Linked DNA regions of Nothobranchius furzeri. The protein of the gene in region 3 purifies or fractionates together with the protein of the main gene of each other region. This does not show direct contact. Links are inferred from orthologs where the notes say so. Each region holds a gene or a part of one and is shown on either strand. Other genes may lie near its edges. The genes, in order: ddb2, BTB/POZ domain-containing protein 2, cops6, dcaf11, torsin-1A-interacting protein 2, klhl18 and fbxo7.

Region 1 (4,342 bases), on a different chromosome or scaffold from region 3:
TATGCGATTTTGAATCTTCCGCTCACACCAGACAGCTTTTATTTTTTTTCCAACCATGTCGAAAACAACCAATAGGAGCTCATAGACATTATCACGTGTTTTTGATTACCCCTCCTCTTTCTTTGATAAACCTTTGTTGAGAAATCATATTAGAACAAGGCGAGTTTCATAAAAGATAATTAGAACGGAAAAAGTAACACAAACGACAGTCTATGAAAAAAATAAAAACAGCCAGCATAAACAGGAAGTAATGCCATTTTAAATATTACTTTTAATTCTTAAATACAATTATTGACTTATTAGTAATTAGTTTTTTTTATTGTTTCAATGAAATAACGCTTTCTGGAATCAATTATTTCACTTAAAATGTGGAAAATGGAAATGATTTAAGAAAACAGCACTTACTAATTAAAAATTGAGTCAAAAGGATTACATTGTTACCACGGTTTGATTCTTCATGTCCTGTCAGACAACAATCCTTTATCAGATCAAAAGTTGAAAGCTGAATAGATTCTCACACAACAAGAACTTTTGAAAATCTTTCCAAGAAACATTTTTGACATTGCAAAGAAAAAAGGTGTTCTACTATTTTGATATCTGGGTGAACTGATATTTATGTTGACTTGCTTTTGCAGAAAGTCGTTACAAGGGATAACTGCATACATATTTTTAAACTGAATTATTTTATTTCCTGTGAGAAAAAGAGAAAGATATCTGGATCAGATTTTCTCAAAGGAAATGTCATCATAATTTTAGAATGTTTTCTCCTCAGGGTTAATGGACATTGAAGCCAGAGTGGCCTAATTCTTATGAATTTATTGTAACATTTTTTGTATACAAAGTCATTTTGTTTATAAATATAAACATTGGTTTATATTTATATTTGTTATAAATATAAATGAGTTGGTTATTTTGGAGTAACTGCATGTATTTTCACATATTTAATTATTACAATTACAGCTAGATGAATTGCCACACTAGGTTTAGAACATTTTAATGTATATTTTCAATCAATGCTTCTGAATATTTTAATAACAAATAAATAAATGTGGCCTGAAACATGCACAACCTATTTTATCTGTGCTTATGTTTGTCAAATTGGCATAAAATAATTTTATTACAAGCCTTAAAACCTGTGATAGTGTCATTAAAATAAATCTACGATACACAAATGAATCATTAGTACAGCTAGAGCAGAAACTATATTTAAGAATGTAACATTAAATAAACACAATACAAAAGAACATTTTCGATAACTTAAGGTGACGTCACTTTGTAGTCCAACGACGACGACTCTAAACATGGCTAACGATCGTGATGTGTTTTATCCACAGTGCCACCTGCAGCCATCCAGTGGTAACGCACCCATCTTACAAAACATTTGCAGCCATTATAGTCACGTTTACAGCTGCTTATGCAAACGCCGAAGTTCCTGGTGCTGGCCTCTCTTGTAGCGTTCACCAGCGACCAGGTAAGCGGCAGCAATGAAAACTGTTTAGGCAAATCGAGGATTCGTTGTCGAGGCGATTCGTGTCTTTCATACTGTGTTGTACGCTCGATTCAACGAGGAAGACATGAAAAACAAGCCCGCCAACAAGTCGGACGCATGCGAATCAAAAAGTAAGAAGAAACGAGCTGCAAAAGACTCTGATCCAGCTGTTTGTAAAACACCACGAGACAGAAAGGATGGAGAAACATCTGATCCAGGTGTGCAGCTCTGATGATGGGACAGCTTCATTTCATTCACGCTGTCTGTACCTGAAATGTTCTGGCTTTGACAGACGAATGTGATTATATCTCACAGGGCCTCCTTGTAAGTTTTCAAGAGTCCACAGGAGGAACGGGCACCATGCGAGCATCCTGCATTATATTTACAAAAGCACCCTGGGCCAAAGCCTACACTCTCAGATGAGACAAGTAAGACATGAAGCTCAGCTTGCATCAACTCAGTTCAGGTTGTGTTCATTATGCGTGGTAAACCTCCATTTTATATAGTTTTTATGTTATTTTAGAGTGTTAAATCAGTAATTTTGTCCAATAAAACAAATATCTTCATTGAGCAATCATGGAATTTTATTCTCAGAGAGTCGAGCATGAATTGATGTACATGCCCCAAAACCAGGGCACCACCAGGTTTCTCTTTGTTCCTGGGAAGTAAAAAAGTGTATTAAAGCAATAAGAACTATAAGATAATACAATCCAGAGTAAAAATGCTGAGTGCTTCCGGTTCTTCACGCACTCTAAGGTGCATGTGTGACACATCCCCATCCCCGGTGAGGGTCTTGGTTCTTTATCTGCAGAACAGGTTCCTATATTCTGACTGATAATTAATCCAGAAGTGAATCAGAGGAGCACCAGACGTGTTTGAGCATGTATCGGTTTGTCTTGATGGAGAGAGTATGTGGTGAAAAGGTGCTCCTCGTCTCTTGCAGTGTCTCCAGGAGCCCTTCCTTCGCTCCCTGTCCTCCTACCACTTCCACGGCGCCAGCAGTCCGTTCGATCGCAGAATCACCTGTCTGGAGTGGCACCCCACCCATCCCACCACGCTGGCTGCAGCCTCTAAAGGTGGAGACATTTTCTTGTGGGACTTCAACAACCCCACGAGAAAAAGCTTTATTCAAGGGGTGAGTGTGTGCGTCGGATTGGTTTTCACCCCCATTCAGCACTGCAGCAGCTTTGGGGCTTATTAGATTGTTACGGGTGATTTCCAGGTTGTGTATGTCAGACGAGCACGAAGACACTGTTGTTGGTTTTCTGCTCAGATGGGGCCTGGAGACTCAGTTACAGACATGAAGTTTAACCAGTTAAACCCCTCTCAGCTGTTCACCTCATCCATGGGGGGTACGACAGCCCTGCGAGAGTTCAGTGGGACGACACTTACAGTTTTTGCCAGAACAGATGCACTGAAGTAAGACTTTAGAGCTCCTTATGTCTGTAAAGGTCAGAGGTCAGGCCTGTTCAGTCTAGCATCAGTCTTCTCGTCCGGTTGCCTCAGACTGAAGTGGTGGCTTCCACTTTACTGGCTTGGATCTGTGTGTGTGTGGACAGAATGGAGCGGGAGACTCTCTGGGAGGGATGAAGTTCTGTCCCATGGACTCGTCCAAGGTCTACGTGGCTTCTGGAGAGGGAACGCTGACCCTAAAGAGCTTTGAGGGGCACAAACCCACTTTGCTGTCCAGAACTCAGGACTGTGCTCACGAGCACCACAATGTCTGGTGAGAAAACCGCATAGAAGACTGATGCTAGGCAGACTCGTTTCGTCGCTTTTCTTCAAATTGGTAAAGAAGAAAATCGTTCAAAGCTAATCTGATTTAAACATCTTATTATAAAAGACATTTAGTTCACATTTGTTGTTGTAGATGTTTACAGATGTGATTGAGTGATGTTCAGGACTTAATGTCTTTAGCGTCATAGTTGAATATCTAAACGTTTCTTTATTAAAAGGTTATTTTAGAGCTTTTTGAACACATAATGAATGAAGAAAACTTGACTTGTTCATTGTGTTTCACAGCTTTTGGTACTGCTGTGTTGACGTGTCTGTGAGTCGGCAGATGCTCGTTACCGGTGATAACACAGGGCAGCTCTTACTTGTCGGACTGGATGGTCAAAAGGTAATTTATTTATTTAAATGCAATCTCTACCAATTCTTTATAGATTAGAGGTTTAAGATTTTAAATGTCTGGATTTTATTTATTTTGTCATAACTGCCCCGAAAATGTAAGCGTGGTCTTTAATAATTTTGCTTTAAAAATGAAACGGATCTGCTTGAAAGCAGCAGATAGAGAATCAGCAGATTTGCTAAGGCAGAGGTCATGAACAGTCTTGTTTTAGAGAAGGAAAAAATGCTGGAGCACCATTTCCAGGAACTAGAAGTGAGCCACATCACAGCTGAGTTTCAGACGGCAGGTTTTGAAGTCTTATTTCCTAATATTTGGACATCTCAGCTCTGACTGGCTAACAGTAACATGACAATTGACCCTTTGCACCGATGTCACCTAATCACGTGGGTCCACCATGCTGGACGGCAAAAGCATTTAAACAGTGAGCGACACGATTAGTAAACAAAGGGAAAAGTAGAGCCTGAAATTGTTTTTGCGATCAAAACAAAAACAAAACTCCTCCAGCATTCCTTCAACTAGTTCATGCCCAGTTCAGTTATCAGAAGAAGTAACTCATCTAGCCGGGGCTCACAGAGAGCGGTATGTTAGCTAGCTTACCAGCGTTAGCTTATGTTCTCTCTGTTCACCGATGTAAACATGTTGTTGACTTTGCCTAAATTCACCCCGCTGGATTTATAACTTTGTTATAAACAGCGTTTCACTTTACACCAAAGCTGATTTTT
Region 2 (4,649 bases), on a different chromosome or scaffold from region 3:
CTCATTCATCAGTCTGTGCGTATGTCGTGTGTAGGAACTAATTTACGCATTGTGTGGTATTCATCATTTGGTACCTGTGTGTGGAAATGTTCCTAAATATGAGAAAACTTCAGACCATGTGTAGGAAGAGCATTTACTGGTTGAACGAGGGAACCGCAACACCAAAGGTCTCAGTCATCCACACATGTTCCTCATCCAATTATTTTACACATTAAAACAATATTTCAGAGTAAAAACAGCCAAGTCACATGATTGATACTAAAACACCAGACAGGAATCTAACATTGTAGAACACCTTTTTCTAACTGCAGAAATGCCTCCTCAGCCAGGAGCAATTAATCACCTCTGCCTCGCCTCAGTCAGCTGTGGCTACATCTTAGCTCATCCCCACCAGTGTGTTAATGTGAAGCTGTGTGTGTGAATGATGACTGATTGTGTTGTGAAGCACCTTGGGGGACTGTAGAACCCTAAGAAGGCGTTATACAAATGCAGACCATTTAATCACTAAATCAAACAAAATAACAACTCACTAAAAAAACTAACTAAAAGATGCAGGAAACATGCTGGAAGCAGACTGCAACGTCAGGTGTGTCAACTCCACTTTAGTAAGTCCAACCGGACCGGACTGGCACTCTAAAGTTGCATGTGTGGTATTTTGGTCACAGAGGGTGACATTTCATTAACCCCGTAGGGTCATTTTAGTACATATTGGCTCAAGAAAATGATTTAAAAATATTAAGTTGCATAGTATGCCTTTAACTAATAAACTTTTAACGTAATTACTTGCAATCTGAAATTTGGTTTGACTGATGCCCACTCTGTCTATAAGGGATGTATTTGTTTTATTTAGGTCAGTTCGATGGAAACACAATAACTCATTAACATGCCCTATAGGTTAACAACTGTACTATGTGTAAAAACATAAACATAAACTCAATCCTCTAGCTTTCGAGATTAAAGATTTTTCCTGCTATCTGCTGGAGCAAAACTGTCTCTACAGGCAATGTTCATATTGCTAATCACGAGAAAACTCAAGAGCGTTTCCTGTGGATTCCTTCAAAATAAACTATACCACTTAAAATGACTGCAGGTTTGAAATTAGTGTTAACAGCATAATTAAGTCTGAATCAGTGGTACCCAATCCTGGTCCTGGAGGACCAGTATCCAGCATATTTTAGTGTTAACATTTTTCCCATACACCTGATTTCAATCAGCAGTTAATTAACAGGCTTCTGCAGAGCTTCATAAGCTGCTGCACAGGGGATTCAACCGCTGAATCAAGTGTTGTTGCAGAGAAACAACTAAAACGTGCTGGATACAGGTGCTCCAGGACCAGGATTGACAACCACTGGTCTAAATAATGCCAGAAAGTCCTCACTACAACCTACTTAACTACTAAAAATCAACAACTCTACTTTAATAATCTGTGTTCAACAAGATCAAATCAACCAGCTACAATTGGAGCCATTAGCAGTTAGCTACAAAATAGAGGTTCATTTTTTTAAAAGTTTTATTTTGATAAGGAGGCTGAATATTCTCAAAGGGGAAATATCAGATGTTTTTTTTCCATATGTGCTTTATTAAAATTCAGCCTAAAATTTTTTTGGTCTGATGTTTTAACTTTTTAATGTTGTTTAAGAAAAGAAAAAAGTGAATTATAAGTTTTTTAGTTTAACCCATTGAGGACAGCAGATTGTAGTACCCACCGTGGCCGCTAGAGGGAAACAAAAGGCAGACGTGACCCTTTAGACTACATGAAATGAAGAAAGCGATGAAGTTTGTTGTTGACGCCTACGCCAGGTTGAAGATGTCCGCTGGAGACAACAGCGGCAGGCCTCCTTGCCTCAGTTTCTCCGGCCCGGGTCCTTTGGGAAACAGCCAGCCCAGCAACAGCGTTTTCTCAATGCCAGCATTCAACGGAGGAGCAGGCGGTGCAGCTGGAGGTGCACAGGGAGCAGCGAGGCGGTCCAACCCGCAGCTGGGGCCTGCCGGGGGAGACAGCAGCGGTGTGTCGAGCGGAGCTCCGCCGACTGCGCAGAACCCTTTGCAGTCGCCCGCTGCGGCTGCGGCAGGTGCTGCGGCAGCCGGAGCAATGGCCTCCCCGGCGTCCAACATGATGACCACCGCTGCGTCAAACGCCAACCCGGCGACAGCGCCCACCTCCACTCCGGCTGCTGCGTCTGTGCTGGTCTACCGAGAGCCGGTGTACAACTGGCAGGCAACAAAGAGCACCGTAAAGGAGAGGTTTGCGTTTCTCTTTAACAACGAGGTGCTCAGTGACGTTCATTTCTTGGTTGGCAAAGGGATGGGTGTTCAGAGAATACCAGCTCACAGGTAATTACCTCCAACATGAGCCTGCTCTGACGTTTAAACAAAGATCTGACAGCCCCCTCTCTCTTTGTTTTAGGTTTGTTCTGGCTGTGGGGAGCGCAGTGTTTGATGCCATGTTCAACGGAGGGATGGCCACCACCTCCACGGAAATTGAGCTTCCAGATGTGGAGCCAGCTGCCTTTCTGGCCCTGCTGAAGTAAGAACCAGACAGTCCAGCGTAACAGTTTACATTCCCACAAACCAACCCTAGTTTGTGTGGTTTCCTGCAGGTTCTTGTACTCTGATGAAGTCCAGATTGGGCCTGAGACTGTGATGACCACCCTCTATACAGCTAAGAAGTATGCAGTTCCAGCCCTGGAGGCTCACTGTGTGGATTTCCTTAAGAAGAACCTGAGAGCAGACAATGCTTTCATGCTGCTCACACAGGTCAGCTCCCATCAACTCAGTTTCCTTCATCATTATTTATTCAATTCATGTTTGAGTGTTCTATTATTTTTATAATTTGTGAGTAAAAGCAAGGTTGTGATTTCTGTTCCAGGCGCGTTTGTTCGATGAGCCTCAGCTAGCCAGCCTCTGTTTGGAAAACATCGACAAGAACACCGGAGATGCTCTCGCCGCCGAGGGATTCACGGACATCGATTTAGGTAAAGTGCCTCTGTACATATTCATGCCATTTCTACATTGTGGAATTACACTTTTAATATGATTTGTTTGCTTCTGTTTAGATACGCTGGTGGCGGTGCTGGAGAGGGACACTCTCGGAGTCAGAGAGGTGCGTTTGTTTGGAGCGGCTGTCCGTTGGGCTGAGGCTGAGGCCCGCAGGCAGCAGCTGCAGCCGACGCCCGAGAACATGCGTAAAGCCCTGGGAAAAGCTCTCACTCTGATCCGCTTCCCTCTCATGACCATTGAGGAGTTTGCTGCAGGTAAGGATGAACAAGCTACGTGTTTTTCCTCTGTTTTAGACATGCATAGATGCTGTGATTCTGAATTTAATCTTCGTCTTTGGGTCCTATCCTTCAGGTCCGGCCCAGTCCAGTATTCTGACGGACAGAGAGGTGGTGAGCCTCTTCCTCCACTTCACAGTGAACCCAAAACCTCGTGTGGATTTCATCGACCGTCCTCGCTGCTGCCTCCGAGGGAAGGAGTGCAGCATCACCCGATTTGGGCAGGTGGAGAGTCGCTGGGGCTACAGCGGAACGAGTGACCGCATACGGTAAGAATCCCGAAGTTTAGTCTCTTTTACTAATACTACTTAATGCATTATAAAGTATTAATAAACTAAGTAATCCTTCATTTACATTCCCGATATTGTTAACTATTGATCTTAAGGTTGGGACAAAGGGCCAGGGGTTATCTGTGTTACCAATACATTTAACTTGTATGTGTTTTTAGCTCAAACAGTGTACCACATACATCAAATGATTTAATAAGATATTTATTAGTTGTTACTGAATTTTATCTAAGAGTTGATTATTATAGACGACTAGTTCTGAATACTAAATTCCATCTGTCACACTTTCCTGATAATTTTCTTCACAGGTTCTCTGTTAACAGACGGATATTTGTGGTTGGCTTTGGCCTCTACGGCTCCATACACGGACCTACAGACTACCAAGTCAACATACAGGTACCACTCCAAGCACTGCTCCAGTATTAAGTTGTTTCTGATCATTTGGAGTGTTTTCATCGTGTTTGTGACATTTGCACGTGTTGTAGATAATTCACACAGACAGTAACACGGTGCTGGGGCAGAACGACACGGGCTTCAGCTGCGACGGTTCGGCAAACACCTTCAGGGTCATGTTCAAGGAACCAGTGGAGATTCTACCTAACGTCAACTACACCGCCTGTGCTACACTTAAGGTGTGTGACTCCTGAGAGCTAATTAAAGGGAGCCAGAATGTGTGTGTTCATCCTTTTTTTTTCTGTGCGTCACAGGGTCCAGATTCTCATTATGGGACCAAAGGGATGCGGAAGGTAACGCATGAGTCATCATCCACTGGCACAAAGACCTGTTTCACATTCTGCTACGCAGCAGGCAACAACAACGGCACTTCAGTAGAGGACGGACAGATTCCCGAGGTCATCTTCTACACATAGTCACCTCAGATACCACCACCATCTTCCATCAAATGTGACGGCTTGACACCAGCGTGAGGCCACACCTCAGCAGCCGTACTGAGGACTAATCTGTCAGACTTCATACTGTTCCCCTCCACTTAGTGCACAACCGTTAGCTGCATGGGAGGACTAATAGATTGGGGGGTGATTTAGGTTGCTACACAGGACAAAGACTGTCATCTTGCATACCGTATGTC
Region 3 (4,133 bases):
ACAGAGCAAACCCGGCCCCACCTCCTTACCACCAAGACTCAGCTCCTCCAGTCCAATCCACCCTGCCCCTAGTCCAAGGGAGGCCATCTGTAACTGGTATCCTTGTCGTCCCGTAATTCCTATTTCAAGAAATTTCAGCCGTGAGAGCCCTTCTACCCCCGAGAGACCATCCTTGGCTGCACAATTTCGAAGCCCATTAGCTGTTATACGAAAAGTGTCACGCAACTCCAGTTGACTTAGCCTCTGCCACGATGTTAGACTCTGCAGATGCTGGTCTGTGAAAGAGGGCACATTGTTGAGGATTAACTTCTCAATACAAACTCCCAGAGGAGAGCCAAGCCCTGTTCCTTTCTGATCCCTTCCTTGATGAGGAGCACTAGAAGTGGCTTCTGCTTTGCCAGGGGGATGAGTGGCTGAATTAGAAGAGCTTTGGTTGAAAAAACCCCGAGGCAACTCACAACCACGCAGCTCCAGCACTCTCAAAGTTCGAGGGAAAACCAGGCAGTTAGGTAGACTTCTCAGGTCTGTATGCAGAAGGTAGAGCTTACTCAGACGGGGACATCTTGTGGACAAAGCTTTGAGCCAAGACTCAGAGAGAAAGGTGCCGCCTCGGGCTGACAGCAGCAAACCTCGCAAGCGAAGGCATCTTAGTCCACAACCAAGGTACTGACGCAGCAGGACCCAAAGGATGCGGGATGTCACCTGACACAGTGGATAGTGTGTGTGTGTGTGTGTGTGTGTGTGTGTGTGTGTGTGTGTGTGTGTGTGTGTGTGTGTGTGATGGGGAAAAGGAGAAAATAACTGTTAATAACTATGCAAACAAACACATTTTTCTTTAGGTTAAAATACACACGTATCACTGACTGGTTCATTATGGGTAAATAAGTTGATTTTATTCATGAGAAAGTTCCTCTTTTACTTTGGTGTTGCATCTAAAACCATCAAGTGACTTTACAAACGCAAAACTTTGTGTTTACCGTTTCTGTACATATTTATGAAAAAGCGTATAATTTAGTCATTCAGACAAAACATTAAAAATAACTTCCTTCTGACACAGGTGTTACTGGAACAGATATTTTATGTCTAAAACCTAATGCAACATTGTTTGTAACTCGCAGGTGTTACTTTATTGTGATTATTTTCATAAAGAATAAACATCAGATAAATAAAACGTTAAAGCCACACAGTGTGCTGACAATTCTTACCCCCTTCCATGAGGTCAAGTCGACAGTTTTCCACAGTCTTTGGTCTTTAACAAGGCGTTTCCATCTTTTGCACACCCTAAAAAAAAGAGGAAAACAATGGCAGCAACACAGAGCAAACTCACTTACACCACCGGATGAGTCATAACAAAGAAAAAGCCTGGCGCTGAGTTTTTGGCATACAAGCAAAATTTCAGCTGGAATACAGGTCTTACCTTCCAGCTCTGACAAGCTCTTTGACGCTCAGGTATGACAAAACATCTATCAAAATGTTCTCGGGAAAGTAGTCCAGATTACAGGCTTTAAATTCGTCCATTTCGTTAAAAAAAAAAAAAAAAAACTCGTAAAGCTTCCACACGGACTAATATCCTGACGCACACGGGTTGCGCCCAAATCAGTAATCCCCAGGAAACGGCTACTCGTTGACTGTATGATGCTGTATGACCTAGACGTTGGATTAAAGAACATACAATATTATAAATTCCTTCGGATAGTTGTGTCTCCGTCGATATTTTCTTTCTTTTGATAACACTTGACAAATTTCTGACAAAGGTCGAGCTCCACACCTTGTTTTGAAACAGCCTGAAATGCAGTTTGTTGCCACCTAACGTTCGTTAGCTGAACAGCCCTCCTGCGCCTGCGCGTTGAATAGATGTTGCACCGAATTGTGTGACCATGGTATATTGTGACTCCAGGAGGCGCTGTTGCCTCACACACCGGACAAGATGGCGACCAGCGATGGTGGAGGAATGGAAGTGGATGGGGCAGGCGAGTATTTATTTCTTATTTCACCATTTAAGTCTGACATCAGCATAGATGGATGTACGATTCCCTTACATGCTGTACAGTTTGGGTGTGAATGACCCCAAGTTAAGACTTAGTGTCATTAAAGGCTGCTGCTGACATAAGTGGGTTAACGTGCACTGCTCAGTCTGTAGTCATGACTCTGGATGTTACCGTCGCTCCTTTTCTGTTCTTTGACTGGAGTCTGGATGACTTGTGTGAATATAAATTTATATACACTAATTGTTTTTTGAAAATACTATTTTATGTATTCTGTTCAAATTACAGCACAGCATATTAGAGGAGCACACGAGGGACGTTGTGTACACCTGATTTCCATTGCTCTGTCACGTCATTTTGGCAAAAACAAACTACAGTTCAGTTGCTTCCCTTATTTTCGCCCACCTATGGCTTCACTACTAAGTTTATTTCAATTCGGCTTTGTTATTTCTGTGTGATGATGCAAACCTAACTCTAACCAGTTATATTTATCCTGGCTGCTGCCTAGCTTGGCCAGGTCTCCCTTGAAAAAGAGGTTGTTAATCTCAGTGGGATCTTCTTGGTTCAATAAATACATCAAACATTGGCCATATAAACAAAAACATCTGCTTGTTTATTGTTGTTTGTCTGGGTTGGTATCTGGGTATGATATTGCTGTGGTTAATGTGATTGACACTTTCTCAGCATCTAAAAAAAACTGATTCACCCATAGTGCTGCAGCAGTTAGCGCCATACCACAGAGACAACTCTTTAAAAGGAGAATTGAGAGCATTACATTTAATTAGTCCAATTTCTGATTTAGTGGAGACATCCTTCAGCTGATTATCTGATAAATGAGACATACGAGGGATTCTTTGGGATCTGCCTTATTGGAGTTAAAATATTATTTTTATACATAATAAAACTTCAAATATTTGCTGTTTGTTAAAATGCAACCTCCTTTTTCCCAAAACCAGTCATTTGTTTTACAGTTTTTGTTTGTTTTCGAGTAAAGAGCTTTATGTTACATGTTGCTGGTGTCCAGTTAAAGCTTATTTTACATCTGTGTCCACGTGTCTGTAGTGGGCCCTAGTGTCATGGCCTCGGGAGTCACCGGGAGCGTTTCTGTGGCCTTGCACCCTCTGGTCATCCTCAACATATCAGACCACTGGATACGCATCCGCTCCCAGGAAGGGCGACCGATGCAGGGTATGTGTCTCTTTCTCACCTGTTTGTTCTTAAAGAAAAAAAAACTGCTTCCAGGGAGAAACAAACCCTGCAGTTATCAAAGCTTTGACTTAGATTCTCTGTAATTAAAATGCAGTAACGTTTAATGCCATAATAATAAGTGTTGTTCATCATGTGTTCTCCTTTCAGTGATCGGGGCTCTGATCGGAAAACAGGAGGGTAGAAACATCGAGGTGATGAACTCCTTTGAACTTATGTCTCACACCATAGATGACAAAGTGCACATTGACAAGGAGTACTACTACACCAAGGAGGAACAGTGTAAGCATGTTTAAACATAACACGTTTGACAGGTGTAAAGTGTTCTTATGGGGTGATTTTAATAAGACAATAATGAAATGTGTTCAGTTTTAAACTTTGTAAATCAAGTTCCTCTTCTTTTTTTTTTTTTCAAAATGATTGTTAACTTTCATTTTGTCTTTCAGTTAAACAGGTCTTCAAAGAAATGGAGTTTTTGGGCTGGTACACCACAGGTGGCCCCCCCGACCAGTCAGACATCCACATTCACAAACAGGTAGAAACACTCTGACGTCCGTGTGATCTTAGCTGGAAGGAGATAAAAGACAAAGTTAAAAAATGACCATAAAAGCAAACATGACCTCGTTCAGCAGTGTGAAACTTTATTTTTTCCAAAAATTGTCTTAAAATCCTTCAAATTGTGGCTTGAGTTATGTTCAGTTCTATTCAGTTTATCTATATAGCAAAAAATCATGACATGAGTTGTCTCTCAAGCCCACACTGTAAACATTTCAATAATAATAATAATACATTTTATTTCAAGCGCCTTTCAAAGCTCTCAAGGTCACTGTACAAGACAAAATATAACAAGCAAGCAATACAAACAACAAGAAATAAATGCTAAGAGTAATTCCCAAGGGTAGAGTCGGAGCAGTGCAATGGATAATAGACTAAAAAGAGTAG
Region 4 (3,026 bases), on a different chromosome or scaffold from region 3:
ATTAACAGGATGTTGTTGAATAACCGAAGGAGATGTGATTGTCTGTCTGTGTCCTCTCTACAGTTCATCTGTGCAGCATAGATGGAGACGGTGAAAACCACACCGCCCTGGACCTCAAGTGAGTGTTTCCTCCGTAGTAACGCAGACCAGAGCAGATGATCAGTCACCCAGCAGCTGGCCTTCCTCTCCCCTCATTACCACCTGGATGGATGAATGAATGATGCTGTCATGCCATCATTCATCCTCTCACTGTGTGTGTGTGTGTGTGTGTGTGTGTGTGTGTAGTCCAGATGAGAGGAGGTTCTGCGTGTTCTCTCTGGCTGCATCAACAGATGGAAAAGAGATTCTGGGCGGGTGAGGACTTTTGCTTTTACATCTCAAATCAGGACTAAGCTGGTTTGGACGTTTAGACGTATCGTTCCACTCGTTCTTCTGAGTGAGGGAACACACTTTTCATACCTGTGAGGAGTAATCAGATTACACACCTGAAATGTAACCCATCTCTCCTGTGGTGGCTTTTCAGGGCAAACGACGGCTGCCTTTATGTTTTTGATCTTGAGCAGAATAAACGAACACTGAAGGTGAGTGTGGCTGGTTGTCATGGTTTCTCCTACACACACACACACACACACACACACACACACACACACCTGTGAGAGGTCAAAGGTCAGTCTGTTCTGGTGGCTGGCTATAAATATGTGGGCTGATGTACATTTGAAATCATCCAGCAGTTTAGCGTAATCTGCTCCATTGCTGTTTTTCACTGGTTACACACACACACACACACTTTCTGTTTCCTTGTCAGATTGATGCCCACGAGGATGACGTGAACGCTGTAGCGTTTGCCGACAGCTCGTCCCAGCTGCTCTTCTCTGGCAGTGACGACGCTGTGTGTAAGGTGTGGGACAGACGGTCTCTGCGGGAAGACAGACCGCAGGCCGTTGGACAGCTGGCCGGACACAGAGACGGCATCACCTTCATCCACAGCAAGGTGGGTGGGAAAGTTCCTGAACTAGTCAGGAGGAGGTGGACGACTGGTCGAGTTAACAGTGCTAGCGTCTTGTTCTTGTCTCAGGGTGATGCCCGCTATTTAATCAGCAACTCAAAGGACCAGTCCATCAAGCTCTGGGACATCAGGAAGTTCTCTCCCAAAGAGGGTCTGGCGGCCTCCCGCCTAGCCGTCACGCAACAGAACTGGGATTACCGCTGGCAGCAGGTTCCCCAGAGAGGTGAGGAGAGGGAGGAGAACCAGATGGGGAGGAGAACGGGTCATTTATTATATTTATTCGTGTTTGGGTTTCAGCTCTAAAGAGACACAAGCTGACAGGCGACACCTCAGTGATGACCTACCGCGGTCACGGCGTTCTGCACACGCTCATTCGCTGCCGCTTCTCTCCAGAGTTCAGCACTGGACAGAGATACATCTACTCCGGCTGCTCCACCGGCAAGATCATCAGTGAGTCTCTGCGTGCGTGCGTGTTTGTGTGTGTGTGTGTGTGTGTGTGTGTGTAAAACCCTTTGTGAGATGACAGGACGTGCTTCTCGTTAAAAGACTGAAGTGCTCTAAACGTGTGTGTGTGTGTGTGTGTGTGTGTGTGTGTCTAGTCTACGATGTGCTGACTGGCGTGGTGGTATCTAGGCTGTCGGGTCATGACGCGTGCGTGAGGGATGTCAGCTGGCACCCGTACGAGGACAAGATCATCAGCAGCTCTGTGAGTTAAAACGCCTTCAGGGAAACTTAAATTTAATCTGAAGTGAGTTTTTTCCAAGTGTCAATCAAAAAGGCAGCCTGTAATCTAATGAAACAACAGATTTAAGAATTTAATATCTGAATAATGATCATTAAGGAACATTTTTAAATAATACGTTAATGATCTCAGTGACATCATTAACCATCTTATCCTGCAAATGATCAAACAAGACTAAAACGTGAAGATTTTGTGTCCACAGTGGGACGGAGCGGTGCGGATGTGGGAGCACAGACAAACCCATCCTCTGGAGGAGGAGCGTGAGAGGGACAAGGACTGACGCGTGGAGGAGGACAGCCAGGGAGGAGCAGAGATGGAGGAGTAGAGGAGACATCCTGGCGGGTGTGTGTTAGCTCGGTCAGGCTGTGAGAGACTTTAATATCTTTTAAAATCACGCTGGATCACAGGTTTTCCTTCAGACGGGCATTAAGGCGAATGATCCCTGTATTTCTTTTGTGCTTTTCTTTTTTTAACTGCCTCTCTGTGTTCTGCAGAATAAACAGACCGGTGTTGTGTTTTTATTCTGACCCGGTCTGAAACTGTTCCCTCAGCCATAAGAGCGGGAACTCCTGCAGTCGGATGCTAGGATGTAAGCTAATGAGATTAAGGTGGGTGGTGGTGATTCTGTATACATGTATAGTATTTTAATGGTAAGTCTATTCAGGGAGAGTGTGTAGGTAGCTGTCAGCTAGACTCTGCTGTTAGAATTTAAGTCAGAAACCCTACACTTCAACCTGATTGGCTGTTTCCCAGTAGGGAGCATCATTTAAATGAGCACCAGAACCCTCAGTTCTTTCTGTTTTTGTTCTTAAAGGGTGGTTCTGTTGGCCGGTGTAGGCCGTGACACGTTTAAAAGATGTGTGTGATGTGGTGTTCAATCAGAACCAGGGACGAGCACATGGTCCAAACATTCACTCTGATCTGTAATATGCAATTGTCAGGTGTTCACTTTCAAACTGCTGTTTGAAAATGAGATACTGCTGTTTTACAGTTACAATAAAATATATATAAAAACTCTAAATGTGTCCCTGCTGCATTTTATTCAACACTGCTCCAGTCTCAGCCTAAAAGCCGCCTGCTGTCATAAAAACCTGTCCTATTTTACACATTTCTATTTGTATATTCCAGATATTTATTCATATCCTAGTCCAAGTTCCTAGTTTGTGAATTGTTTGTTCACTGACAATGGCAACAAACCTATTCTGATTCTGATATGTTATTTAATAGTTATTTATTATACTATTAATAAGGATAGAGGTTTTTTATACGGCACCTTTC
Region 5 (3,311 bases), on a different chromosome or scaffold from region 3:
CGCCGTCCAATCAGTTCTGAGGCATTTGGCTGAATATGAGCAGATAATATTACCCGAAACACTTCAGAATCCATCGTGCTGCTTTTGTCAGCAGTCACATCATCAATAAATACAAGAGAACCAGTTCCACTGGCAGCCATACATGCCCACGCCATGACACTTCCAGCACCATGCTTCACTGATGAGGTGGTATGCTTAGGATCATGAGCAGGTCCTTTCCATCTCCAGACTCTTCTCTTCCCATCACTCTGGTACAAGTTGATCTTGGTCTCATCGGTCCGTAGGATGTTGTTCCAGAACTGTGAAGAAGGCTTTTTTAGATGTTGTTTGGAAAACTCTAATCTGGCCTTCCTGTTTTTGGGGGCTCACCAATGGTTTACATCTTGTGGTGAACCCTCTGTTCACACTGGTGGAGTCTTCTCTTGGTTGTTGACTTTGACACAGATACACCTGCCTCCTGGAGAGTGTTCTTGATCTGGCCAACTGTTGTGAAGGGTGTTTTCTTCACCAGGGAAAGGATTCTTCAGTCATCCACCACAGTTGTTTTCTGTGGTCTTCCGGGACTTTTGGTGTTGCTGAGCTCACCGGTGCGTTCCTTCTTTTTGAGAATGTTCCAAACTGTTGTTTTGGCCACGCCTAATATTTTTGCTATCTCTGATAGGTTTCTTTTGTTTTTTCAGCCTAATGATGGCTTGCTTCACTGATAGTGACAGCTCTTTGGATCTCATCTTGACAGTTGACAGCAACAGATTCCAAATGCAAATGGCACACTTGAAATGAACTCTGGATCTTTTATCTGCTCATTGTAATTGGGATAGTGAGGGAATAACACACACCTTGCCATGGAACAGCTGAGAAGCCAATTGTCCCATTACTTTTGGTCCCTTAACAAGCGGGAGGCACATATGCAAACTGTTGTGATTCCTACACCGTTCACCTGATTTGGATGTAAAAACCCTCAAATAAAAGCTGACAGTCTGCAGTTAAAGCACATCTTGTTCGTTTCATTTGATATCCACTGTGGTGGTGAATAGAGCCACAAATGTAAGCACTGTGTCGATGTCCCAATATTTATGGACATGACTGTACTTACTCTCATTTAAAATATTACTAGAAAATCTATATTTTAATTAAGCCAATCAGCCATTTCATTCCAGAAAAATGTGGTATGTTATTACATGATGAACAAGGACAAATTATCTAAAATAATATTAACATTCAGCCTCCTGTCTCTGTCTTTAGGAAGTAAAGGATTTGTGATGGCCATGGTGGTTCTAGTGGTACTTGTTGCCATCTTGATGCAACATTTCTCCCAGCCAAAAACTCCACCTCCCAAAAACAATCAACGGCATATAGACGACTTCCTGAACAAGATGGAAAAATTGATGACTCAGTATCCCAACCAGCGCTCAGAGTTCTGGGACCGGAGCAGGATCCACCTGAAAAGGCACCTCCAGACCTCCCAGCCGACCGAGCCGGTGAGTCTGATTCTGACTGCCGGCCTCGGCGCTGAGAGGACGCTGTGCTGCCTGGCTCATAGTCTGTCCGACGCTTTCTCCTCTGCTATCAACTCCTCCGTCCTCCGCATTGATGGAGCCAGCAAAGCCAGCCAAGACAGTGATCAAGTCAAACTGGACATCGACAACAAGCTCCAGGGAGCTTTTGAGGGAGACAAACACGTGGCTGTCATCCACCGCTTTGAAGAGCTGCCCCCGGGTTCCACGCTCATCTTTTATCGCTACTGCGACCACGAGAACGCTGCTTACAAAAATACTTTTTTGATCTTTACGGTGCTGCTGGGCGAGGAGAAGGACATCCCTGCCGAGACTCACCTGAGCATTGTGGAGGAGATGGTGGACGACCATCTGCAGAAGAAGTTTCTCTCTCACGGCCACCCTGTGTCTTTTGACAGCATGGATCTTGATAAATATGGTGGACTGTGGAGTCGTATCTCACACCTTATTCTGCCTGTAACAGCAGAGGGAAGAATGGAGTGTGATGGGTGCTAAAAGCCACAGAAGGTCTTATTTGAGCTTTAACTCCGAGCAATAATCACTACATATCAGTCAGTAGGGGGAGTCTGCTTATTCTGGGGCTTTTAGTTGTGGTTTAAAAAACATTTTAGTATCTCTCAGCATAAATGAACACATCAATATTCAATAAGACTTATTGTAAAATAACATATTTGTAAAAATGATGAAAAAAAACTATTGGGCACTTTTAAGTCGTTTCAATGGTTTGAAAAATGAAACTGGAATTTGTTTGGATTTTCCAGTTTGCTAATTGTTGGGGACAACTGCCGCTGTTATACAAGTCTTCGTCATTCTTTGGATAAAACACGTTTTTAGTCACCAGAACACAAGGTTTATATGTTAAAAGCACCAGAGACTCCATATGCCTTAACATAACATGAACATGTATATATTTTATCTGCATCTATGTACAGGTTAGACTACAGAAAGAATGAAACCAACTGTATAAATTAAACGTGCCTTAAATTGCAAATAAAATTTTAATTTTTAAGTTTATCCTGTTATTACTAAATCAACCGCTGGAGGGCAGCATCACATCACCTGTACTAGGACACCTGTCTGATGTGATTGAATAAGTCTAATAGCAGGCTGCTAATTGAATATTTAACCCCATTTATGTTAACTTTAAGTGATATCTGGGCGGTTAATGTAGTATTTTGAGTGACTTGGAGATTTTAAACTTGGATTAAGGGCTTGTCCTGGTTGGGTCACTCCTCCTTTCCTGGAGATCAGATCCGCCTCCTATCCGCTCTCCCACAGACACCGGGGCTTTTCTCTCCTGGGTGCACGCTTCTCCACCCTCCACTCATTATGAAACAACATCTCGCTTTGTTGATGCGCTGTTACGATTTTTAAACTTGAATTCTCTTGCATTTAAATTACTGTCAGGCTGCGGTTGCTCTCCGGGACCTCCAGCATGTTTAAGTTATTCCATGTTATCGTGCTGTGCTGTGCGTTTTTCTCTCGGGGGTCTGCTGCACCAAAACCATCCCTAAATGCAGACTGGAGGTCTCAGCCTGACAACGGCGCAGAGCAGAACGAGGAGCTGCAGGAGGAGGTGGAAGGTCAGGAGAGCATCATCTCCAAGGTAGGTGCAGTCAATAAATGTGTGCGTAAAGTTTCCGATTGAGCCTGGTGGGAAATAAAAAAAAAAGTATCCATCCTCTTCTCTTTGTAGCTGCTTGGTGATTATGACAAAGTGAAAGCCCTCTCGGAAGGCTCTGACTGTCGCTGTAAATGTGTTGTCAGACCCCTGAGCAGGAGCGCCTGCCGGAGGAT
Region 6 (4,366 bases), on a different chromosome or scaffold from region 3:
CCATACGTTCCTAACTAAACACTTCGCTCTCAGACTGCAGGTCTACTGGTGGTTCCCAGTATGTCTAAAAATAGACTAGGCTTAAAACATTTTTATTTGATAGGGCCTATGGTTAAAATCTGATGTCAGCCCAGATCTGGACAAGTGGGGGAGTAGAGGGAGGTGGAGTGTACAGTCGGTAAAGACGACTCTCCCTTGCCCTGCCTCCATTATGCCTCCATCTAAAAGGCTAGGTTATCCAGAGTTATCTCTGTAGTTATGCTGCTATAGGCTTAGACTGCTGGAGGATACACTGACCACTTTCCACGCTCTACTGCTTTCTTCTACAATCTGCTCTTTAACTGTATTATTTCCTGCAATTTCAGCTGTTAACTTTATTTTTTCTCTAAGTGTTTCCCCCCCCAGAAGAAGCTACAATGATGTTTTGCTGAGCTGTGGTGGCCTCATGGAGGGGGCCATCGGCTAGCACACTGCTGCTAATCACTTAAACATTCTCTCTCTCTTGATAATAACATTTTACTCTCTTTGACATGGTAAATGGTCTGTATTTAATACAGTGCATTCTAGAGTCCTGGAACCCCCAAGGCACTTCACAACAAGGTCAGTCATTCACCCATTGATACACCCATTCACATTCTGGTGTGGATGAGCGACAACCCGCCTTGCCTGCTGACCACCACCAGCAGGCAAGGCGGGTTAAGTGTCTTGCCCAAGAACACAATGATGGCGACAACTGAGCGAGGCTTGAACCAGCAACCTTCAGATTACGGGGCGATCGTCGCCCCAATGGAATGTGTTAGTATGGTTACCTGGGATCCATGCCTTGCATCAGGATCTCATCCTGTTTGCACTCCACCATGTCATTGGTGAACATGGCATGGAAGTACGGGATGGAGGCAGCCAGGACAATCCGGTGAGCGCTGAACTTATGATCGCCGACCTGCAGAGAGAGGACACCCACAGTTACCTCCAGGCCAGAGCTGGGTGGCAGAATCATAGCAGCCGCTCCAGCGTGGCGGCAGACAGCTGCTCAGTGTTTGAGTGTGAGGTCCTCATACATTCTGGCAGCAGAGGACTGAGTGTATGAGGACCACACAGCAGTATCAGTGAGAGAACAGGGAACAAAATGGAGAGAGAGAGAGAGAGAGAGAGAGAGAGAGAGAGAGAGAGAGAGAGAGAGAGAGAGAGAGAGATTGATATGACGGTGGGACTCCTCGCTGGCTGGTGCTTAAGCGGAGAACCTCTCACACCAGTGGTGTTCTGGTGCTAAAGACGTGAGTTTGTGATGAGTGGAGGACCCAGGGAAGGGTGGCGGTTCGGTGAGGCCAACATCCGGATGGTCCAGTGGTTGGTTTCGGTGTGAAATACGTTATTGGTGGAGATTTTTAAACAAATGCGAGAGAACCACACTTTTTGATCTCCATAATTAATTAACAGCTATGCTATGTTTGAAGGTTAAGAGACACGAGAAAATGTTTAATTTGTAGTAGCAGCTTTGATAGTTGGTTACTTTCATATTTTGTCCAGGCATGGGTGGAGACGTATTTCATCCACACTTCCTGTTCGGAAAACGCTTCTGAAAGAGGCGTGGCCTGGCGGACCGAGAGAGGCACTGATAGACTGCCACACTAATGATTACACATGTGTACTGCACCATTGGCATACATGGGCGACGGTGGAACAGGAGTTAAGTGCTCGCCCCGTAATCGGAGGGTTGCAGGTTCGAGCCCCGCTCAGTCTGTCGCTGTGTCCTTGGGCAAAACACTTAACCCAGTTGCCTGCTGGTGGTGGTCGGAGGAACCGGTGGCACCAGTGCTCGGCAGCCTCGCCTCTGTCAGTGCGCCCCAGGGCAGCTGTGGCTACATTGTAGCTCATCCCCACCAGTGTGTGAATGGGTTAATGACTGATTGTGTTGTAAAGTGCCTTGGGGGGTTCCAGGACTCTAGAAGGTGCTATATCAAATACAGGCCATTTACCATTTTACAAGCTGGTTAAGTTCAGCGTTTAAAACTGATAAGGGTCTGAAATGTTAGTGATAATCATCGACATATAAATATAATAATTCAGACAAAAGAAATCAGGATTCTGTTGTTTATTTTAGAAAACCCCTGCTAGGAGGTTCTGGTGGGTCCATAAACAATACTGAGCCTCCTGAGGACTTGTGGGTTCTTCTCCAGCTGGACCACCAGAACCTTCACTGGCAAAGCGCTTTAGAGTCCGCTGACTCAAGGCGCTGCGACTGAAAGTCACTTATCGTTTAACGAGTTGGGTCAAATTAACACTTCCGGTTTCAGTCCACCTGTGCTGCAGATAATTGATCATAACAGTAGGTGTTGTCTGAGCGTGCTGCCGACCACAAATTGACCTTTCACCTTCATAACCCCTAAGTATTAATATCGGTCTAAAACATTCGCATATGAGCGTCTTCCGGCCGGTCACAGGTCACGCATTTAACGTCATACCACCGATGTTAGCCTGTTAGCAACTTGTTAGCAAGCTGTTGGGTCGCGGACCGAGTCCACGCCGTCAGTGTTTACCTTAATCGTGACGTCACAAAGCTTTCCCTGACGTCGGATCTCCTCCATGACGACATAACCTCGCGCGGGCAGGTCGTGCACGGAGAAATGAACCAAATCTTCGAGCTCTTCGCAAAATCCGTCTCCCATCGTGGGCAGGAACTCAACCCTTCACAATAAAACAACTTCCGCTTCTGTAGTGATCTCCAAAATAAAGTTGATTTCAAACTGATATGAACGTCCGACCGGAAGTGTCTAACGTTCTGATCCAAGCGGATTTAAATGTTTTACAGAACCTGATTTGGAACTGCAATTTAAAGCCATTTAAAACATTTATTCTTGAAACAGATGACTTTACCAGACCAGCTTTGGCCGGGGTTTGGACTGGTTCTGTTCTGGGTTGGTGAACTGGGAAAACCCAATCAGACCAGAACCTGAAGTCTGACTTGGATCAGGTCAGAAACTGAAGCTGGAACTGAAGGTTTCCCAGGAAATCACGAACTTCCCATTAGCTCAGAAACGTGTCAATCAATTGCTGGAATGACGAGTTAACTCTCAAACATGAAGAAAGTTTCCATGGAAACAGGACCACTGAGAATCAGAGGAACACTGCGTATGGATCTAAACGGTTGAGGGAACCAGTCTGCTGGAACTCTGTAGCTGTCCCCGGATCAGGAGCGTTCTGAATCAAATAACCCAAACCCTATTGGGACATCAGAACTCCACAACCAACAAATGGTCTTGGGTCGGATCAGCGGGTCCTTGGGTCATTTTATTAGAAAATGTTTCAAAACAATCTGCAGCAGCATCCCATGAGTAAAAACAGCTGAAAAATCTTTATTTACATTTCACCTGAAACAGCCAAGCCGCACCAGAATGCACCTGTCCTGATGATCCACTTATTTCTAGTTCTGGTTTGGGTTCTGCTTTGAATTTGCTGCCAGAAAGAAATCCTGCTTGACTGCCGAGTGGTTAGGAACGTTCCTGTGGTTAGGGTGGACCCGCTCAAACCTTCTGCATCCTGCTCACCATTTTACACAAGTCAGACCTGAATTAGCTCCAGACCTGGTCCTGGGCTCCAGGAGGACGTCCCATCTGGATCAGCTGTGACATGAAACCACCATGTTCTGTTTGGACCCAGCTTCTGGGTGGACCTGGTGAGTTCAGCAGAAAGTCATGTGACGGTTCAGGAGGTGTCAGGGGCCAGTGCTGTGAGAAGAATGATGAGCAGGGCAGAAGTGATGGTAAAACGTGAAAGACAACCTGAAGAAGGTGTTTCCATGGAAACAAGACCAATAAAAACCAACCCAGTAAGAAAGAGGCCACTACGTTAAGGTGAAAGTTCATGGTGGCTCTACGCTGACAGGTCACTGCTGTCGAAGCGCTCCTGATCGTAGACCTCCGCCACCACCTTGCGTCCTCCGAACCAGCGGTTGTTGAGTGCCTGGATGGCTCGGTTCATCTCTGCCACCTCAGAGAATTCAACAAAGATCTTCACCACGATTTCAGCATCCTCCTCCTCACCCTGGCGCTCCTGGTAGATGATGACTCGCTTCACCTGCCCAAACTTTCCACACTCCTCCATCACCTCCCCCTCCAAGTCATCGTCGATATCTTCTGGCCCGACCATGTTCCTCAGAACCATGACAATGGACTGGAAAGGACAACAGGTTCAAAGGTCAGGGACCAATGATGCAGCTGACGTTTAACAGCAAAATTAGACTAAACAGCAGGAGGCTGATTCTGGTCCAGGCGCCGCCCACCTCCTGCTTCCGCAGCAGTTTCCTCATCACCATGTGTCGGGCGCTGTTGCCACTAATGCTCACATGCTCCTGCTCACTCAGGGGCTC
Region 7 (4,436 bases), about 49 Mb from region 3:
ATTATAGACCAGTATCTAACCTTCCATTTTTATCCACAGTCCTGGAGAAAATAGTGGCCATCCAAGTATGTGAGCATTTAAACACTAATGCTCTGTTTGAGGAATTTCAGTCTGGTTTTAGAGAGTATCACAGCACTGAAACTGCATTAGTGAGAGTTACAAATGATATTCTCATGGCCTCAGATAAGAATCTTGTGTCTGTTCTAGTCTTGTTAGATCTCAGTGCTGCCTTTGACACAGTTGATCACAATGTTCTTTTAGAAAGACTTGAACATGTTGTAGGGATCAAAGGAACAGCGTTAGGCTGGTTTAAATCCTACCTGTCTGACAGATTTCATTTTGTAAATGTACATGACAAATCTTCTTCATACTCCAGGGTTACTTGTGGAGTACCACAGGGTTCAGTGCTTGGACCAATTCTTTTTACTATATATATGCTCCCAATTGGTAAAATCATTAGACAACATGGGATAAATCTCCACTGTTATGCTGACGATACCCAGTTATATTCATCCATTAACTCTGATGAACCTAATCGGTTGGGTAGATTACAGGCTTGTCTTGAGGACATACAAAATTGGATGACTCAAAACGTTTTGCTTTTAAATCAAGACAAGACGGAAGTTTTCATCTTTGGTCCTGAAATTCAGAAAAGGATTGCTTAGTCAATCACCTGACCTGAATGGCATTACATTAATCTCCGAGAACAAAGTAAGGAACCTTTGTGTTATCTTTGACCGGGACATGTCATTCAAATCCCACCTTAAGCAGGTTTGTAAGATTTCCTTTTTCCACCTTCGGAATATTGCTAAGATGAGAAGCATACTTTCCAGGAGTGATGCTGAAAAACTAGTTCCTGCATTTATTACATCAAGACTGGATTACTGTAATTCATTACTCTCAGGAAGTCCACAGAATGTAGTTAAAAGTCTTCAGCTTGTCCAAAATGCTGCAGCTGGAGTTCTGATGAGAATTAAAAAGAGAGATCATATCTCTCCTGTCTTAGCTTCCCTACATTGGCTACCTGTTAAATTCAGAATAGATTTTAAGATCCTTCTTCTCACATATAAAGCTCTTAATAATCAAGCTCCATCATACATCAGTGATCTGATTGTTCCATACGTTCCTAACCGAGCACTTCACTCTCAGACTGAAGGTCTACTGGTGGTTCCCAGAATATCTAAAATTATGATGGGAGGCAGATCTTTTAGTTATCAGGCTCCTCTCCTGTGGAACCAGCTCCCAGTCTTAGTCCGTGAGGCAGACACCTTGTCTACTTTTAAGAATAGGCTTAAAACATTTTTTATTTGATAGGGCCTATGGTTAAAATCTGATGTTAGCCTAAATAAGGACAAGTGGGGGAGTAGAGGGAGGTGGAGTGTACAGTCGGTAAAGACGGCTCTCCCTTGCCCTGCCTCCAATATGCCTCATTCTAAAAAGGCTAGGTTATCCAGAGTTATCTCTGTAGTTATGCTGCTATAGGCTTAGACTGCTGGAGGATACAATGACCACTTTCCACACTCACCTACTTTGTTCTACAATCTGCCCTTTAACTGTATTACTTCCTGCTATTTCAGCTGTTAACTTTATTTTCTCTCTAAGTGTTTTTCTCCCCAGAAGAAGCTACAATGATGTTCTGCTGAGCTGTGGTGGCCTCATGGAGGGGGCCATCGTCTAGCACACTGCTGCTAACCACTTAAACATTCTCCCTCTCCTGATAACTTTTTACTCTCTTTGATGTTGGATGTGCTACTACTAGTTTACCCGTTTAATTATAGATCCACTAGGATAAATACAATAAAGTTTATCTCTCACCAAATAGAATATTTACTAAGACATCACAATGTAACCACAGAATCAGAAACTTTTTTCTGATTGGCTTAATGAATTGACCTGTATTGGAATGGTTATTATGTGAAGTACCTTGAGACGACTCTTGTCGCGATTAGGCCCTATATAAATAAACTTGAATTTAATTAAATTAAAAGTTTAAATACATGAGGAGCTGGGACCTTGAGTGATTGGAAGACAAGAGGCAAGTGGGAGCAATTAACATGGACACAGAACTGAACGGAAACTGGGGAGACAAGACAAACTGTGACACATACATTGGTGATCTTAGTCCCTACACCCCCAGCATGTCCATGAGTTCCAGTGACCAAAGCCTACTGGTTGTGGAGCACCAGGCTAAAGACCAAAGGTGACAGATCATCTGCTGCTGTGGCCCCCAGACTCTGAACCTCTCTCCCCCTGAGCCTGAGATCAGTGGACTCAGTGGTCTCCTTTAAACTCACCCGTTAAGGCTTTGGTGGGACCTTCAACACCACCACCTTGTTCTTATTCTGCCTTTCCTGGAATCCACTGATTTCCCTCTTTCCTATAAAATTTCTCTCTCCCTTTCCATTATATATTTAATATAATGTTTACTTTTTTCTTTAATTTTAAACATATTTTTATTCTTTTTTTTTTACTTTTTAAATTTTATTAAATTTTTTTGTGAAGCTCCTCGTGATTTTTATGTTGAGAGGTGCTAAACTGTTCTGGGTCTTATTTTGAAAAGTCGAAGCGGAAATTACGTCTCTTCAGTTTCCGATGTTTCGTTTTCACTGATAGGAGAGAATTTCATGTTCTATTATAATGTGAGCTTTTCTCGGTTTACCTGTGAAGTTCTGGGACTTTCTGAAGATAACCCGCAGGTTTCACTAACTACCCGTCCAGGTTAGTTAGCTAGCTTGTCTCGTGCTACGCAGCAAATACGAAACGTTTGATATGAAAGGAAAACGAAATCGTCATTTTCCAGAAGCGATCGTTTATTTTACAGCACTGTCGTGCGTGCTTATTTCGTTATTATTATTGGAACCGTAATCTAACAGATTTTCATGACACTTCTTTGTTCGTAAGCTTTTTGGATAAACCTGTGAGTCTCTTACATGGTGGAGGTTGGAGTGTGACTAAAGGTGTGGACAGAAGTTGGTGCCATTCCCATGTAAACATTCTGTGCTTTAGGCGCATTTATTCATCTATAAGAACCGATTTTGGTTGGAATCCTGAATCTGAGGTTTAAAGTTCAGTTGCTATAAGTTGAACATGTTTTTTATGTAAGTAGAGGTCATGTGATCTTACGGAAGCCGGTGTGTTTTGTTTATTTCAGACAACATGAAGCTACGGGTCCGGATCAACAAGCAGACCAGCAGGGTGGACTTACCTGGAGAAGAACCCACTCTCACAGAACTCTCAGATGTCATCAAGCAGACACTGCTGACTTCTACTGGACTTGGGTCAGACTTCCGGATGGATCCATTTATTCTCTTTTTCTTGTCTCTTAACCAGCGTGTGTCCCAACGGCTCAATGCTCCGTTTTCTTCATCTCCTTTCAGTCTGAACACAGAATTCAGCTTGTCTCTGAACGGCTCTGAGCTTCTGTTGGACTCTGGTCAGACCCTGTCTTCCTTTGGGATCGTTTCTGGAGATCTGATCTGTGTGCTGCTCCGGCAGCCTCCAGCAGTCGCCGTGACCTCAGGGGAAACCAGCTCCACAGCCCCAATAACTGACGATCAGCAGACCGCCACTCAGGTGAGCTCACAGTGACGCAAAAGTGGGTACGCAGTGTATGCGACACATGGGGCGCCAAAGCAATGATGCAAGAACATTTTAGTCTGACGTTCCTCTGTTTAATAACAGCCGTGTTCTTGTCCATTTGTGTATCTGCTAATTATATCATTAATAAGAGAGAAGCACATCAGTGATTAGGCGCCCCTCCGCTTGTTAACCCCCCACACCAAAACAGCGCTCTGCCACCACACCACTACACTCTGGGGTTGGAGTAGATGGTTTTATACACGAGCCACAGAAGTTGTGCGTTTATTTATTTAAACGTTGTAGAAGCTAGTCGCACTAATGGAGCCCAGCTCTGGTGTCACAATGAGAGCTAACGTGAGCAGCTCCTGTCTAACGGGGACGGCGGGTGGAACCAGGCCCCAACTGGGGAAATTCCCGATGGCCCGGTTGAGTTCAGTGTTGTTGTTTTTTGGGCTGGTGTCACTCTAGATCACCTGCTGCTGATGAGAGGAGCTCTCCTGTCAGGCACTGGTGAGCTGCTGCCAACCCAAACCCAACCAGCTTCTGCTCCTAGGAACACGTTCTAGCTCAGACTGTAGTGACCTGTTATTTATAGTTTATAATTAATGTTAGGTATATTCCACAGCTGATGGAAAATGAGATTAAATAACCTGAACATGTTCTCCCACAGCTCAGCTCTGTTAGAAATGAGCAGATGTCTGCTTCAGCTGGACTACATCAAGTAGAAAAGTGTCCACAGATAACTGATCTTTAAACTTTAATATTGATTTTATTTCATTTCTAAGGTCTGGATGTCTGTGAACTAGGGCTGGGGGTAAACGATTATTTTTAAAACGATTATTCTGACGATTATTTTA

The links.
Region 1: the proteins of cops6 (region 3) and ddb2 purify together in Homo sapiens (affinity purification with mass spectrometry; 8 studies listed by BioGRID and IntAct, counting the BioPlex papers as one, with this or other methods). This does not show direct contact. The link is inferred for Nothobranchius furzeri from reciprocal best matches to the Homo sapiens genes COPS6 and DDB2.
Region 2: the proteins of cops6 (region 3) and BTB/POZ domain-containing protein 2 purify together in Homo sapiens (affinity purification with mass spectrometry; 4 studies listed by BioGRID and IntAct, counting the BioPlex papers as one, with this or other methods). This does not show direct contact. The link is inferred for Nothobranchius furzeri from reciprocal best matches to the Homo sapiens genes COPS6 and BTBD2.
Region 4: the proteins of cops6 (region 3) and dcaf11 purify together in Homo sapiens (affinity purification with mass spectrometry; 6 studies listed by BioGRID and IntAct, counting the BioPlex papers as one, with this or other methods). This does not show direct contact. The link is inferred for Nothobranchius furzeri from reciprocal best matches to the Homo sapiens genes COPS6 and DCAF11.
Region 5: the proteins of cops6 (region 3) and torsin-1A-interacting protein 2 purify together in Homo sapiens (affinity purification with mass spectrometry, with the first as the bait; 3 studies listed by BioGRID). This does not show direct contact. The link is inferred for Nothobranchius furzeri from reciprocal best matches to the Homo sapiens genes COPS6 and TOR1AIP2.
Region 6: the proteins of cops6 (region 3) and klhl18 purify together in Homo sapiens (affinity purification with mass spectrometry; 3 studies listed by BioGRID and IntAct, with this or other methods). This does not show direct contact. The link is inferred for Nothobranchius furzeri from reciprocal best matches to the Homo sapiens genes COPS6 and KLHL18.
Region 7: the proteins of cops6 (region 3) and fbxo7 purify together in Homo sapiens (affinity purification with mass spectrometry; 4 studies listed by BioGRID and IntAct, counting the BioPlex papers as one, with this or other methods). This does not show direct contact. The link is inferred for Nothobranchius furzeri from reciprocal best matches to the Homo sapiens genes COPS6 and FBXO7.

What each region holds. Positions count from the first base shown.
Region 1 is NC_091744.1:65,533,955-65,538,296, reverse strand, and holds the start of ddb2 (DNA damage-binding protein 2), read left to right. Parts: upstream 1-1,338; 5' UTR 1,339-1,471; exon of another isoform or gene 1,472-1,572; 5' UTR 1,573-1,574; coding exon 1,575-1,707; intron 1,708-1,804; coding exon 1,805-1,917; intron 1,918-2,432; coding exon 2,433-2,624; intron 2,625-2,711; coding exon 2,712-2,908; intron 2,909-3,048; coding exon of another isoform or gene 3,049-3,215; intron 3,216-3,511; coding exon 3,512-3,611; intron 3,612-4,342.
Region 2 is NC_091751.1:57,998,583-58,003,231, reverse strand, and holds the start of BTB/POZ domain-containing protein 2, read left to right. Parts: upstream 1-1,756; 5' UTR 1,757-1,759; coding exon 1,760-2,334; intron 2,335-2,407; coding exon 2,408-2,527; intron 2,528-2,600; coding exon 2,601-2,757; intron 2,758-2,869; coding exon 2,870-2,975; intron 2,976-3,056; coding exon 3,057-3,254; intron 3,255-3,351; coding exon 3,352-3,544; intron 3,545-3,870; coding exon 3,871-3,958; intron 3,959-4,047; coding exon 4,048-4,194; intron 4,195-4,269; coding exon 4,270-4,431; 3' UTR 4,432-4,649.
Region 3 is NC_091741.1:79,987,571-79,991,703, reverse strand, and holds the start of cops6 (COP9 signalosome complex subunit 6), read left to right. Parts: upstream 1-1,333; 5' UTR 1,334-1,417; coding exon of another isoform or gene 1,418-1,518; exon of another isoform or gene 1,519-1,821; intron 1,822-1,897; 5' UTR 1,898-1,927; coding exon 1,928-1,970; intron 1,971-3,047; coding exon 3,048-3,173; intron 3,174-3,341; coding exon 3,342-3,473; intron 3,474-3,637; coding exon 3,638-3,726; intron 3,727-4,133. Other genes in the region: F-box/LRR-repeat protein 12, read right to left, coding at 1-702, 1,206-1,281, 1,418-1,518. UniProt on the Homo sapiens protein: Component of the COP9 signalosome complex (CSN), a complex involved in various cellular and developmental processes.
Region 4 is NC_091747.1:42,050,135-42,053,160, forward strand, and holds the end of dcaf11 (DDB1- and CUL4-associated factor 11), read left to right. Parts: intron 1-63; coding exon 64-118; intron 119-285; coding exon 286-354; intron 355-523; coding exon 524-581; intron 582-805; coding exon 806-991; intron 992-1,075; coding exon 1,076-1,229; intron 1,230-1,303; coding exon 1,304-1,456; intron 1,457-1,605; coding exon 1,606-1,712; intron 1,713-1,950; coding exon 1,951-2,028; 3' UTR 2,029-2,256; downstream 2,257-3,026. UniProt on the Homo sapiens protein: May function as a substrate receptor for CUL4-DDB1 E3 ubiquitin-protein ligase complex.
Region 5 is NC_091748.1:54,201,397-54,204,707, forward strand, and holds the end of torsin-1A-interacting protein 2, read left to right. Parts: intron 1-1,242; coding exon 1,243-2,009; 3' UTR 2,010-2,523; downstream 2,524-3,311. Other genes in the region: olfml2ba (olfactomedin-like 2Ba), read left to right, coding at 2,950-3,120, 3,211-3,311. UniProt on the Homo sapiens protein: Required for endoplasmic reticulum integrity. Regulates the distribution of TOR1A between the endoplasmic reticulum and the nuclear envelope as well as induces TOR1A, TOR1B and TOR3A ATPase activity.
Region 6 is NC_091751.1:33,738,050-33,742,415, reverse strand, and holds the start of klhl18 (kelch-like protein 18), read right to left. Parts: upstream 3,035-4,366; 5' UTR 2,667-3,034; coding exon 2,538-2,666; intron 941-2,537; coding exon 810-940; intron 1-809. Other genes in the region: poly(U)-binding-splicing factor PUF60a, read right to left, coding at 3,871-4,170, 4,280-4,366. UniProt on the Homo sapiens protein: Substrate-specific adapter of a BCR (BTB-CUL3-RBX1) E3 ubiquitin-protein ligase complex required for mitotic progression and cytokinesis.
Region 7 is NC_091741.1:31,396,457-31,400,892, reverse strand, and holds the start of fbxo7 (F-box only protein 7), read left to right. Parts: upstream 1-1,507; 5' UTR 1,508-2,624; coding exon 2,625-2,718; intron 2,719-2,756; exon of another isoform or gene 2,757-2,957; intron 2,958-3,151; coding exon 3,152-3,278; intron 3,279-3,377; coding exon 3,378-3,573; intron 3,574-4,436. UniProt on the Homo sapiens protein: Substrate recognition component of a SCF (SKP1-CUL1-F-box protein) E3 ubiquitin-protein ligase complex which mediates the ubiquitination and subsequent proteasomal degradation of target proteins and plays a role in several biological processes such as cell cycle, cell proliferation, or maintenance of chromosome stability.